3 linked regions of the Xenopus tropicalis genome follow. The protein of the gene in region 2 interacts with the protein of the main gene of each other region in a biochemical or structural test. Links are inferred from orthologs where the notes say so. Each region holds a gene or a part of one and is shown on either strand. Other genes may lie near its edges. The genes, in order: axin1, tnks and rnf146.

Region 1 (4,619 bases), on a different chromosome or scaffold from region 2:
TAGGGCTCAATGGCACTCTGCAGCTCCAACCTGGCCCAAGGAAAGCCTCCCATAGGGCTCAATGGCACTCTGCAGCTCCAACCCGACCCAAGGAAAGTCTCCCATAGGGCTCAATGGCACTCTGCAGCTCCAACCTGGCCCAAGGAAAGTCTCCCATAGGGCTCAATGGCACTCTGCAGCTCCAACCTGGCCCAAGGACAGTCTCCCATAGGGCTCAATGGCACTCTGCAGCTCCAACCCGGCCCAAGGAAAGCCTCCCATAGGGCTCAATGGCACTCTGCAGCTCCAACCCGGCCCAAGGAAAGTCTCCCATAGGGCTCAATGGCACTCTGCAGCTCCAACCCGGCCCAAGGAAAGTCTCCCATAGGGCTCAATGGCACTCTGCAGCTCCAACCCGGCCCAAGGAAAGTCTCCCATAGGGCTCAATGGCACTCTGCAGCTCCAACCCGGCCCAAGGAAAGTCTCCCATAGGGCTCAATGGCACTCTGCAGCTCCAACCCGGCCCAAGGAAAGTCTCCCATAGGGCTCAATGGCACTCTTTCCTTGGGCCGGGTTGGAGCTGCAGAGTGCCATTGAGTCCTATGGGAGACTTTCCTTGGGCCGGGTTGGAGCTGCAGAGTGCCATTGAGCCCTATGGGAGACTTTCCTTGGGCCGGGTTGGAGCTGCAGAGTGCCATTGAGCCCTATGGGAGACTTTCCTTGGGCCGGGTTGGAGCTGCAGAGTGCCATTAAGCCCTATGGGAGGCTTCCAAAATCATGCACAGAAGGTTTCAAAGTTAGAAAGGTTTTCGCGCCATTTACGATCATTCGGACCGTACCACAATATTTACGTATGACCACGATACAAATTTTTCGCGTTTTTAACGCACATCATAAATTATCGGATTTAATACGAATTTTTTTCTATTGAAGTCCAGAATTCGGACTTCGATAGACGGGCCCCAAAGCGTGATTGTTACTTTAGTTGCCTCAATATTCCCACCAATAGAAGGCTGGGAGACATTACCTACATTAAAAACCACAACTCCCAGCCCCCCCCTGGCAGCCATTGGCTAGCTTTGGAATACTAGGACATACACTACAGGACCACAATTCACCCCATAACCAGAGTAGTTCTTGTGGGAGCTACAGCCCAAAAGCTTCCTCACCAACTCTTACCATCCCTCCTCAGAGAACCCTCCCACACTGGGGCCCTAGGGCCCATGGCTGCCCTACATATACTATTCCCACCTCACAGACACCCCATATTAGAGCCGGGGAGCGCATCCCTGAGGTAAAAAGCGGAGAGCTGCTTGGAGTCACATGACTGCGCGTACCAGCGGGGCGGGAAAAATCGCGAGAAGCTGCGGGGCCGCGCATGTGAGGCGCGGGCACGCCAATGCGCACTCCCGCGGGTGCCGTGCACGGTGTTTCTCTCACACACTCACTCACTGTGTATCGCACTGTCCGGGGCATGGCCGCATCCCGGCGCTCTGCGCTCTCCTGTTTCCCGAGTATCCCTGCGCGGTGGCGGCTCCAGCTGGAAGCTTGATGGGTGGCTGCGGAGCGGAGGGAGAGGGCCCGGAACGGCTGGGCACAAGAGCCGGCTCAGGGCTGCCTGGGTGAGGAGCAAGGCCACACGGCTCTCTGTCTGTCTGTGTGTGTGTGAGAGGAACGGGGGGAGGAAACTTTCCAGGAGAGGCGGACGGATCCAGTTTGTAGGCCAGGCCCCGGCTTTGCCAGTACCGCTGGGCCGCATCTTACTGGGAAGCCCCGTACCCTGGCCCGTCTATAGGCATGCATGGGAACCCTGTGGCCCTGTACGTGGCTGTGGTAATAGAGTCCATCACAGGTTGCTCTGCTGCCCTTATTCCCAACATTGGGGCTCTGAATGCTTTGCTTTTCTGCTAGAGCATGCTGGGAAATGTAGTCCCAGGGATGAACATCACCAGACACTGAATGACTACATCTCTGGGCTCAGAGGGGTTACTGGGAGTTTTAATTCAGCATCATCCACAGGGCTGTATGGGGGATATCTGTCAGCTTTACTGGGGCTTTACTACATCCTTACTATATCTGGGGGGGGGGGACTATTTTGCAGGGATCCCATCATTAATGGGGGGGAGACAACTTATCTACGTGATAAGCTGTTAGTGGGGTGATGGGAGTTGTTTCACTGGCAAATGCACTGTGGCTGCAAACGATGGAGAATCCACAGCAGTGCGGTATTAGGGTGAAGACACACGGAGCTACTAGTAGCAGCTACTTGTCACGGCTACTATTATAGACAATGCTGATCATTTACTGATAATTGTCTCTACGTGTGTTTTAGCAGAGGCAATTCTCTGTATTGTCTATGGCAGGGGATTTTCTAGAGTTTAGTAGCCATGAAAAAGTAGCTGCTACTAGTAGCTCAGTGTGTCTTCACCCTAAGGGTAAAGACACACGGAGCTACTAGTAGCAGCTACTTGTCACGGCTACAAAAATAGACAATGCTGATCATTTACTGATAATTGTCTCTACGTGTGTTTTAACAGAGGCAATTCTCAGTATTGTCAGGGTATTTTCTGGTGTTTTGCAGCCATGACAAGAAGCTGCTACTAAGTAGCTCCATGTGTCTTCACCCTTAGGGTGAAGACACAGAACTACTAGTAGCTGCCACTGCCATAGACAGTGGTTTTGAAGTTATGTGTAAATGTAATTGGTATGGAAAAACGCTGCCTGGATGTTTGTATTCTCTGCACTGCTGGCTCTGACTTCTGCATAGCGGGGTGATGGGAGTTGTTTCACTAGCAAATGCACTGTGGCTACAAACGCTGGAGAATCAGCAGCAGTGCAGTATTAGGGTGAAGACACACGGAGCTACTAGTAGCAGCTACTTGTCATGGCTACAAAAATAAACAATGCTGATCATTTACTGATAATTGTCTCTGCGTGTGTTTTAGCAGAGGCAATTCTTAGTATTGTCAGGGTGTTTTCTGGTGTTTTGCAGCCATGACAAGAAGCTGCTACTAAGTAGCTCCATGTGTCTTCACCCTTAGGTAGCTGCCACTGCCATAGACAATACTGAGAATTGTCTTCTAAAACACACATAGAGACAATTATCAGTAAATTATCAGCATTGTCTATTTTAGTTGCTGCTACTAGTAGCTCTGAGTGTCTTGACCATTAAATCGATCATGGTGGGAATTGTATTCTGTGGGTTGTCCGGCAGTTTCACCATGGGTGGGAATTGTAGTTCAGCAAGGTGTTTATTGACCATTGCTCACTGTGTTCCATCACCTACCTTGGGCTTCTCACCCTTAAGGAAACAGGGGGGCTGCTGTGGCAATACCCGCAGGGCCACAGGTTGCTCATTGCTGCTGTAGGGACTAAGCCAGTTTATGTGTGGGTTGGGGGTATGATTGGCTTTATAGTTTTCGTTACAACTGCAGTTTTATGTAAGAAATGCTAAGGTACCGTGGGAGTGTGGGGTATTGTCAGTTCATGCATTAGCACTTTCCATGGTGCCCAATATATATTGGGGGCAGAAGTTCTCCGCATTCTGTGCATGTCAGAATCTGAATGCCGTAGCCAGACGCCTTGGGGGTGTGGGGGACCCTGTTTCTTGTGTTCCTACCTGCCTACCTGATCCATCGGCACCCAGTGCTTGGTATATTACTGATATATACTGATCATTTGCAAATAATCCTGCAAGGCTGTGTGCCCACTCCTGACTTATTATATCTGCTTTTGGTCTGACCAAAGAAATCTATCCTCATTGTTGGGGGGGAAATGTCTATTTATAAAAAAAAAAAAAGTGAATATATGTGTAATGTGATGTGTGTAAAAAAGAAAATATATATGTATAGTATATATCAAATTGGAATTAGAACTCTCAGGACCAGCAACTTCTTTGTTATATAATATTTGTATTTTTGACACATTATACAGAAGTCTTATAGTTATCAAGGAGAGATAGATATTTAAAATATATTTTCGTTGTAACTGACATGTAACTGTAAGCAGTATATACATTCATAAATGTCATTGGTTTTGAAGTTATGTGTAAATGTAATTGGTATGGAAAAACGCTGCCTGGGTGTTTGTATTCTCTGCACTGCTGGCTCTGACTTCTGAATCAGTATAGCAGAAACTATCGAGAGCAGAACTAACTTGTTTCAGGAGTCGGAACCAGAGAAAAGGAATGCAGACACATGTAGCTGGCTAGAAAGAGGATTTTTACACTGTGTGTGTGGCGAGTTAGTCTATTATAGCCCCCACTGGAAACAGTAAAAGGGATTGCCGGGCAGAAGGTGATGTCGCCTAGTGGTGCTGAGGAGTAGAACGTGAGCAGTTGCATGTCTTGGGATGGGTAATATAGTATTTTAGTGTCCCTGGTTATTGCTTTATGCTGTTTATCTCTGCGGCACGGTTCAAAGTACCAATAGCTTTAATGGCCCTGGCAATAGCAGGTTCATTCATTCAGATACAGCCTATCTGGGTATGCCTCGAGCAGGGGGGGAATCCCAGGGAGCCTCTAAGTCTGATACACAAGAACATTTGGCGTCACACTCACGAACACACCTTGCGAGCAACCCTTGTCCTCTGCAGTATCCAGCTGTATTGTGCCTTGCTGGCTATGGGTAATTGTGGCTGGG
Region 2 (4,090 bases):
AAGGCCACCAATAAATCATGAGCACAATGTTCCAGCATTTTTGACGTTGTATGAAGTAGTGCATGTCATGACACTGAAATAAAGTACTAATAAATTCAGCTCCTGACATTAAGGGTTTGCTTGCTCAGCAAAGGGACAGCTTGTACCAGATGCACATTTCCTATTTTACAATATTAGAAAGCATTATTCCACCTACTTGTATTCTAAGGGGTATTTTTTTCTCCACATGAAAACTCTATAGTTTATTTATTTATTTTAGTTGAATTCTGCAAAAATCATATAATTTGTTATCAAAACAGATTAATGTGTCATTGTGCACTGAGCAGTTAAATTCAATTTTTTCCCATGGGTAGTAGGGCAATTGCACAAGGCACATTTCATCTCTCTGTAAATTTCAGTGCCACGGACTACAAAAATCCCTAGTTTCCTTCCCACCAACAATATGGATCACCAGAGGGAAAACATGTGTCACTTCTGCTTTCCAGCTGGCAGTTACCATGCACAGATATGTCGAGCTACTTCGCAATTCATATGTTTTCCCACCAGCGATTTACATCACTGCCAGTAGTAAGGAAACTAGGGAGTTTTTGTCACCCACAATAGTGCAGATTTACCACAAGAAACAAAGTGTCCCATATTGCGTAGCCCTCAGAGTTCCAAACTAACTACTATGGGCACTAAATATGGGTACATCATCTATTTCAGTCTTTTCCACAGTGCTACAAATTGGTATTAAGAAGGAAAATAATAATAGCACTAAGTAATGTTACTGCTCATTAAAAAAAAATAATAATAATGAGGATTGTTCAGTAAAACCTAAATATTGTTTTATTTCTAGTATAGCACTTGGTAAAGATACCATTACAGTCAATTTGATATTAGAAGAAAGTAAATACCTGTGGCAAATGTAACATGACCTGTCTTTGTGAGTTGGGCACCCGGTACCTCCACCTATGCCATAGACATACTGGTTGCTTTTAGAAGAGTTTTCTGCAAAGTATATGCCAGCTCCAAACATACCCCCAATGTACGCATGCCGCTCATCAAAGCCTTTGTGAATAATTGCATTAATAAAGGGCGAGCCTAAAAAAGGGATTTAAAAAGAGGAATGACTTGAAAATGCAAATTAGACACAATATCTCCAATATCTTCTGATCAGAAATACATCCTGCACAGGGTCTTTTTTTTTTGAGCAAGAAAAAAAAAACTGCAATTTTTGCAACTTCAGTGCCTACTTGTCAAGCTGTGTTAAATGATTTGTGCCATCACAAAAAGGGCTGTATTTCCAATACAAGTCATTTAACAAAAGCAATCGCAATCAAAGAAATCATTTATTTTATTTTACGTGTCCTCAACGACGTATTTGTCATCAGTTCAGACTTCCATAGACTTCCAAGTCAAGGAAAAGTTCAGATGGAACGTATTCGGAAAATGACTTTGAAAATGAAAGTGTTTTTTTTTTATTTATGCAACATTTTTCAAATGGCTTCGATTTTTTGCACTGGACTGTTTCACATTTAAAATCAAAATGCTGGGTGTTAATTAATGATTCCACAATTCAGATGGTGATGCATTATACTCCTCTCCACATTTTTTTTCTCTATAGGAATTTCTGTAAGACAAAGCAACATACCATGAAACAGCATCCGCTCGTTGTGATGGTTGTGGTTTTCCTCCGAGACCTCTTTTTGCCTGTGGCAGAACCTCTCCCTGAGTTTCTTATTCACCACCTTCTGAATCTGTTGTAGGGGGGGGGGGGAGGATTAAAAAGTATAAAATAAAAAACAGGACCATTTAAACTGATGCATTAAACCAAATTTATTTTGTAGCATTAATATTCCACTATTTAAAACATTTAATATTTCAAGCACATATCTATCAAATATATAAACAGACTTAATAAAGTTAGTTGCCTTGCAAAATTGGGGGCTTCTGGGTTTAAAATAAAAAAAAAAAAAATAATAATGTCTCACTAGGGTTTCGCCATGGGTTTTCCCTAAGGTACTGAGGTTCCATCCCACACAATCCAAATAATTGTAACCTGCCCTGCGGTAAGGAGTGATGTGAATGATGACCAATCTCTAAAGATCTTATTAATCTGTCAGCGCTGTATAAAGGTACTAATAAATAATAATCTTATAAGCTTCAGGTAAAATACAACAGAAGGTGTGCAGAGAATATGCTCCTTAAGGAAATCAATAAAAAAGCATGGAGAGTAATATATTAAGATAACAGTGTACAAAGACATAATTTAGCCTTACCCTAATGACATTATATCGATTGAAAACTCCTCCAGCATTGCCACCATCCCTGTGTTCCCGAATAGAGTTTTGCATCTTTAAATTAATAGGAACAGAACAAAACAAAAGTCAAGTAAATGTTATTTTCTAGAGAGAACAATCATTCACTTAAGATTATTGATACCTAAACTTTACCAATTCTTTTCAACAAATAAAGATTAAATGATTAAAAGTATGCATACCTTAAAAACCATCTCAAGGGTGAACATGGCACTTCCTATGGTTATGATCTAAATGGGGTTCAACCTGTCTTTGCTCTTTAATGTATACAAAAACTATAGAATGTGTTTTGGGAATTAACCCTTTTGTTAAATGGCATAGTAGTAGTAGTTGTACATGGTCCAGTTTTAATACATTAACAATGTTTGAAAGTCAGAGACCAAACAAATCCTTTTTGTGCTAAAGACAAGAAAAATGGTGTTTTGCAATTGTATCTATTAAATGGGTGTACACAGATTTCACCTGTTGATTAGTGTGTTTCTTTTTGGAATGTAAAAACACACTTAAAAGGAGATGTTCCCCTTTAAACATAAATTTAGTATGTTACAGATGAACCCATTATTATTCCATTTATTTATTAAGGACTATTTAAGCCAAAATTACATTAATGTTTTCACAAAGACTGGTAGTGTCCTGTACACATTAGGATATACAACTTAATGCAAACTCATTAAAAGTAACCAGTAAGATTCTTTCCTAAGAAGTATAGTACCCAAGCCTACAACTGGCAACAAATAAAACACAGAGGTTTATTTTTACTGATAATAGAAGGTTATCTTTTACCTCTTCCTCCACTGACTGGTATTCTTTATCATCTGATGCAAGATCCAAGAGAACAGTTCCTTGGCTTACACAGTGAAATGTCAAATAAGGGTTAGTCCCTGAAACACATAAAGGGTCAGGTTAACAAAACCAGAGATGAAACGTTATAGCCTGTGTGATCATTTGAGCAGTATCTATAGCAGCTTATATTTATTTACTTTTTTCAGTGGCTTTAACATTATTTGTACTGCAATAGCTAGTAAAAGCAGTGATTGTATTTCTCTTGCGATTATCTGCACTGGTAGTTCTAACTTAAAATTATGTAACTGAAGCCAGATGATTAACATACCCGGTCCTGACTGGAAAAGAGCTGACTTCTGCTACATTGTTTAAAAAGTCAGAAATTGCAGTGCAGAAAAGGGACAGAAAAATGCAATCTCGGTTACATTTATAAAAAAAAACGTGAAACGGAACATTTTAAAGAAATGTATCATTAATGTTGCTAAGTATCATGTGTTCTTTCACTACGCAAAAATGGAAGGTTGTACCAGTCAGCAAACATGTCCAGCCACGGTTCAAAAGTATGGCAATTCAATTGATTACAACCAAAAATTGCCAACTTTACCCTATAATGACAACACCAAGAATTAGTGGAAGCGATTGGCAACATTTTTTCTGATACCCCACAGCGTTGATGCTTTGAGTATAAGAAATTTTTCCTAATGCTATAAACTGGCTTTATGCCTGCACGGATGAAATGTTCCCATTAAATGCACTCATCCAATAAACCACCTGCCTTGAGAATAAATTTGTGAACACTCTTTAAATTACCTTGTTGCCCTCCTAAGAGTCTTTCAACTCCTTTGATTAGTTTGTGACGATGGCCATAAGCGTTAATCCCAATCTCCTTCAACTCTTCATGACCCATGTCAGCCAACACGTCTAAAGTGATCTAAAAAATAAGGCAATAACAAATTACAGTTGGCAACAGATTTCATGAAAACACCAACAAATCAATGTATATTCCT
Region 3 (4,660 bases), on a different chromosome or scaffold from region 2:
TTATCCCTGACCTGTCTGGTGTGTTCTTTGGACTTTATGGTGTTGTTGCTCCCAATATTCTTTTAGACAACCTCTGAGGCCGTCACAGAGCAGCTGTATTTGTACTGACATTAGATTACACACAGGTGCACTCTATTTAGTCATTAGCACTCATCAGGCAATGTCTATGGGCAACTGACTGCACTCAGACCAAAGGGGGCTGAATAATTACGCACACCCCACTTTGCACTTATTTATTTGTAAAAAATGTTTGGAATCATGTATGATTTTCGTTCCACTTCTCACGTGTACACCACTTTGTATTGGTCTTTCACGTGGAATTCCAATAAAACTGATTCATGTTTGTGGCTGTAATGTGACAAAATGTGGAAATGTTCAAGGGGGCCGAATACTTTTGCAAGCCACTGTAGAACCTGTGCACTTTGGAGTTAGGACCAGAGTAAAAGATTACTTTAGGATATTTTAAGTCTTCTGAATGTCACTGTTGTCACTAAATTGTAAAAATATAAACTAAAGATTACTGTTGGCAATTCAAAAAATGGCCACAGGATCCTCTTATGTAAAAAAAAAAAAAAAGCCTAAAAACTTGTGAAAAGTCTTGCATTAGTTTACGAAAAAATAAAACCTGGAAAACTGACACCACCGTGAACAAATGAGCCTAAAACGTAAAGATTACTGCTGCTCTATTTCACCCAATGTCTTCTCCTAAATAACCAGTTTTGTCCCTAAATTGTAATTGTTGCCCTTACTTAAAAAAAAACTAAACAAAAAAAAAACAAAACATTGGGACCTTCACCTGGCCCTAGTTTAAAAAAAAAAAAAAAAAAAAGACCCTTTCATTGCTAGTCAAATTGAAGAGGCACTGATGGCAGCATGTTTGATAAGAAATTATTTTTCTTTGTTACCAGGTTCATTAAAGCAGAGCCAAAAAAAACCGTTTTAGGTAAAACAAAGACTTTGCAACACAATATCCACCTAAAAAATAAAACAGAAGCCGTGAAAAGAATAAAATCATTTGTCAACCCAGCAAATAGGGTTTGTTCACTGACACAAGTGTAAGTTCTAATAAGAAAAAACAAATACTTAGTTGTGCCTAAATATAGGCAGCATGCATAGTAGGCTACCACCACGAAATGACTCTTTCTTTCTATAACTGCGAAAACTACTAGCTGTGAAGCAAACGTTTGCAAACACGCTTCCTTGTATTACTAGCGCCTTATAATTGTGAAACAAGGAAGTAAGTTGTCACCCCTCTACGTGCCGCGTCACTGCGCTTATATACGTGTGGTAGTGACGCCACAGTCTCGCGAGATGACAATTTTGACGTCGGGATTAGCTTTCCGGCAGGAGCCAAGGAGCTGGATATTAATGGCGTTGTTGGACGATTAAACGGCAATCTGGTTCTGCGGGCTGTGTTAAAAATATCGAGAGCGTCCCGCGAGAAGCGGGACTGTTGGGCGGTATGTCAGGTTGCGCTTTTACTTCTAAATTATTTATTCGAAGTTCTCATTCCCATTGAATTTAGGCCGAGTGTATTGTGATTTCTCAGAAGCTTGCATTTCTTCACTGTAGGGTGTCTGGCACAAATACCTAAGGCCTCATAAAAAATGCATGTTTTATTGTATGTACAGCGCTTTCCAAAAGGGGTGAGCCTTTAGAGCGATCTTAAGACACTGAGCTTCTTAAATATTTCAATTAAACAAGTGAACGTATCATTTTCCCCATATAGTGCTAAAGAGAGGGGCGAAACCACAGCTGCTTTATACAGCTCAAATGCTCTCTTCTTTTTATTACTTTATAGAGTATATACTGTATTAAACCTTGACTTTTTGCAATACGGAAAATTGAACATGGGCTTCATGTCAAGAAGAAACATTCTATACTGTATTAAATTGTGTTCCAAATAATCATGTCTCATCTGCATCTAGTTAAAGGGATACTGTCATGAATTTTATGTTGTACTTTTTATTACCAAATTACACTGTTTACATAAAATATAATTCAATTCACCATTTAAAATTGTATTCTTGAACCAACAAATGTATCTTTTTTTAGTTGTAATATTGGTGTATAGGCAGCCATCTTAGTGCATTGTGCCTGATTCTGAGCTTTCAGAAAGACCCAGTGCTACACATTAGAACTGCTTTCAGATAACCTACTCCCATGTAACTGGAGGAGTCCCAAGCCGGACGTAGATTTCTTACTATTGAGTGCTATTCTGATATATACTGGCAGCTGCTATCTTGCTGCCTTCCCATTGTTCTGCTGATCGGCTGCTGGGGGGGGGGGTGATATCACTCCAGCTTGCAGCTCAGCAGTAAAGTGTGACTGAAGTTTATCAGAGCACAGGTCACATTGCTGTAGCACCCTGGGAAATGAAGAATATGGATAGAACCATGTGAAATTTCAAAATTAAATATAAAAAAATCTTTTTTTGAAAAAGTGATTTCAATGCAGGATTCTGCTGGAGAAACCCCGTTAACTGATGCGTTTTGAAAAAAACATGTTTTCTCATGACAGTATTCCTTTAACCCCCCTCACCTCTACCAAACACACACACAAATCACATTTTTTTTTTTCATTCAATTAAAATACTTTAATAAAGCTCCCCCAAAAAGGCTAACTTGAAAAGATGCTTTTTGAGTTCCCATTCATCTACTATGATCTACTGCTAGTTTAAGGAATTTAAGTTTCAGGGCACAGCAGTTACTTTGGGGTGTATTGCAGCTGTTTCTGAGAGAGATTCCATAAAATATCCTAAGTATATAAATTTCCAGTGGGTGGCTGGCTGGCTTCTGAAAAGCCCTGCTGAACTTTTTCTCCTGTTCAATAACAATAGAACTCTAACTTTATGTCTTCCAAGGGACTGTCAAAGTGGCGCAAATGGTTTAACATGGAAAAAATGGTATCAATTCCAGGAAAACATAAAATCGAGGTTCTATTTCTCATCTGGATATAGCACCTGAGAAATGGAACTGAAATAAAGATCTGTAAACAATAATAACACCTATGCTGCCAGTTTTTCTTCTGTTCATCCGTTTTTAAACTGGAACAATTCAATTGTTTATCATAGACTGGTTTTCAGTTTCTCTAATCAACCTCATAAAACCTTTTAATTTTTTTACCAACAGGATGGCTGGTTGTGGTGAAGTTAGCCACTCTGCTAACATGCTGCCCACTAATAAGAAACTGGTTGAGCCTTGTCCCAACAGTGCTCCTTCATTGTCTGTTCCTGAATGTGCTATATGCCTGCAGACCTGTGTGCATCCAGTTAGTCTACCTTGTAAACACATATTCTGCTACTTGTGTGTGAAGGGGGCTTCTTGGCTTGGAAGGCGTTGTGCTTTGTGCAGACAAGAGATTCCTGAGGACTTTCTTGATAAGCCTACATTACTGTCACCTGAGGAACTGAAATCTGCAAGTAGGGGAAATGGAGAATATGCATGGTATTATGAGGGAAGAAATGGTTGGTGGCAGTATGATGAGCGGACAAGCAGAGAGCTTGAAGATGCCTTCACAAAAGGCAAAAAGAGCACAGAGATGTTGATAGCTGGCTTCCTCTATGTAGCAGACTTGGAGAACATGGTTCAATACAGGCGTAATGAGCATGGACGGCGTAGAAAAATCAAGAGAGATATTGTAGATATACCAAAAAAAGGAGTTGCTGGGCTAAGGCTTGAATGTGATGCAGCAAATGTAAATCTAGCGCGAGAGAGCTCAGCAGATGGTGCGGACAACATGGCAGCACTTGGAGCTTCTTCAAGTCAACCTACACCTGTGTTACCAACAAGGCTGCACACATCCCTCAGTACAACTGCAAGTCATGCCCTTTCACATTCTGATGTTACTTCTTCATTGGAGAACTCCTTTGCTCAGCTTCAGATTGGCGATCCTGTGATAGGCAGGAATAATATAGGTGAAGGTGAAGAAGGACAGCCTCTAATTAACGCTAGAATGCCAGCCCCCAGTGCTTTGCTGGAAGAATCAGAGCCAAGTGACAGTAATGACCATGGAAGTCCTACATTACAACATAATTCACTTCTTGTGCCACAAAGTAATAGGCTCCCATTTGGTAATCCCTGATTGTACCCCACCTGCATAGGCACAAAGTACCAGTGTAAGGTCTAAAAGACCTGATGGACAGTGCACAGTCACAGAAGTCTAAAGCAGTCAGCCAGAGAAAGAAGAGCAATGTCATCCTTGTTATTTCCTTAGTATGTTTTAGACTTGAGCTCAGACTTAGAATATTTGTTTAAAAAAATTATTTTTACCATTAACATGAAGTATCTTGCTCTTTGGCCGAAAGACCTGTTTATATATAATTATAATTAATGGGGAAAAAGAGGCTGTGGCCTAATAGCTGTTTGCTAAATGGGAATGGCATACATTGACATTTTACTTTGTGGTGCTAAACCAAAAGGTACCCTATGTGTAATACATAAAAATGTTTTGGGGGTCTCCTGAGAACAGTGTATGACTTGGGATATAAAAAATACTATAGCCTGTATGTAGGTTAGAAATTGTGTTTAACATATAGTAAGTGTAACATTTATTGTGTTCACTCAGCATTCCTTCACTGTGCATTTAACATGTTGCTTGCCTTGACTGAGTTGTCCTCTTGACATCTATTTTCCTTAGATGTGAAGAGGACAACTGTTTT

The links.
Region 1: the proteins of tnks (region 2) and axin1 form a complex in vitro, tested with the Homo sapiens proteins (2 studies listed by BioGRID). The link is inferred for Xenopus tropicalis from reciprocal best matches to the Homo sapiens genes TNKS and AXIN1.
Region 3: the proteins of tnks (region 2) and rnf146 form a complex in vitro, tested with the Homo sapiens proteins (3 studies listed by BioGRID and IntAct, with this or other methods). The link is inferred for Xenopus tropicalis from reciprocal best matches to the Homo sapiens genes TNKS and RNF146.

What each region holds. Positions count from the first base shown.
Region 1 is NC_030685.2:15,101,479-15,106,097, reverse strand, and holds the start of axin1 (axin-1), read left to right. Parts: upstream 1-1,310; 5' UTR 1,311-1,601; intron 1,602-4,619. UniProt on the Homo sapiens protein: Component of the beta-catenin destruction complex required for regulating CTNNB1 levels through phosphorylation and ubiquitination, and modulating Wnt-signaling.
Region 2 is NC_030677.2:97,830,364-97,834,453, forward strand, and holds part of tnks (poly [ADP-ribose] polymerase tankyrase-1), read right to left. Parts: intron 4,015-4,090; coding exon 3,894-4,014; intron 3,182-3,893; coding exon 3,084-3,181; intron 2,337-3,083; coding exon 2,262-2,336; intron 1,740-2,261; coding exon 1,634-1,739; intron 1,084-1,633; coding exon 897-1,083; intron 1-896.
Region 3 is NC_030681.2:67,900,020-67,904,679, forward strand, and holds the start of rnf146 (E3 ubiquitin-protein ligase rnf146), read left to right. Parts: upstream 1-1,384; 5' UTR 1,385-1,460; intron 1,461-3,131; 5' UTR 3,132-3,132; coding exon 3,133-4,083; 3' UTR 4,084-4,660. UniProt on the Homo sapiens protein: E3 ubiquitin-protein ligase that specifically binds poly-ADP-ribosylated (PARsylated) proteins and mediates their ubiquitination and subsequent degradation. May regulate many important biological processes, such as cell survival and DNA damage response.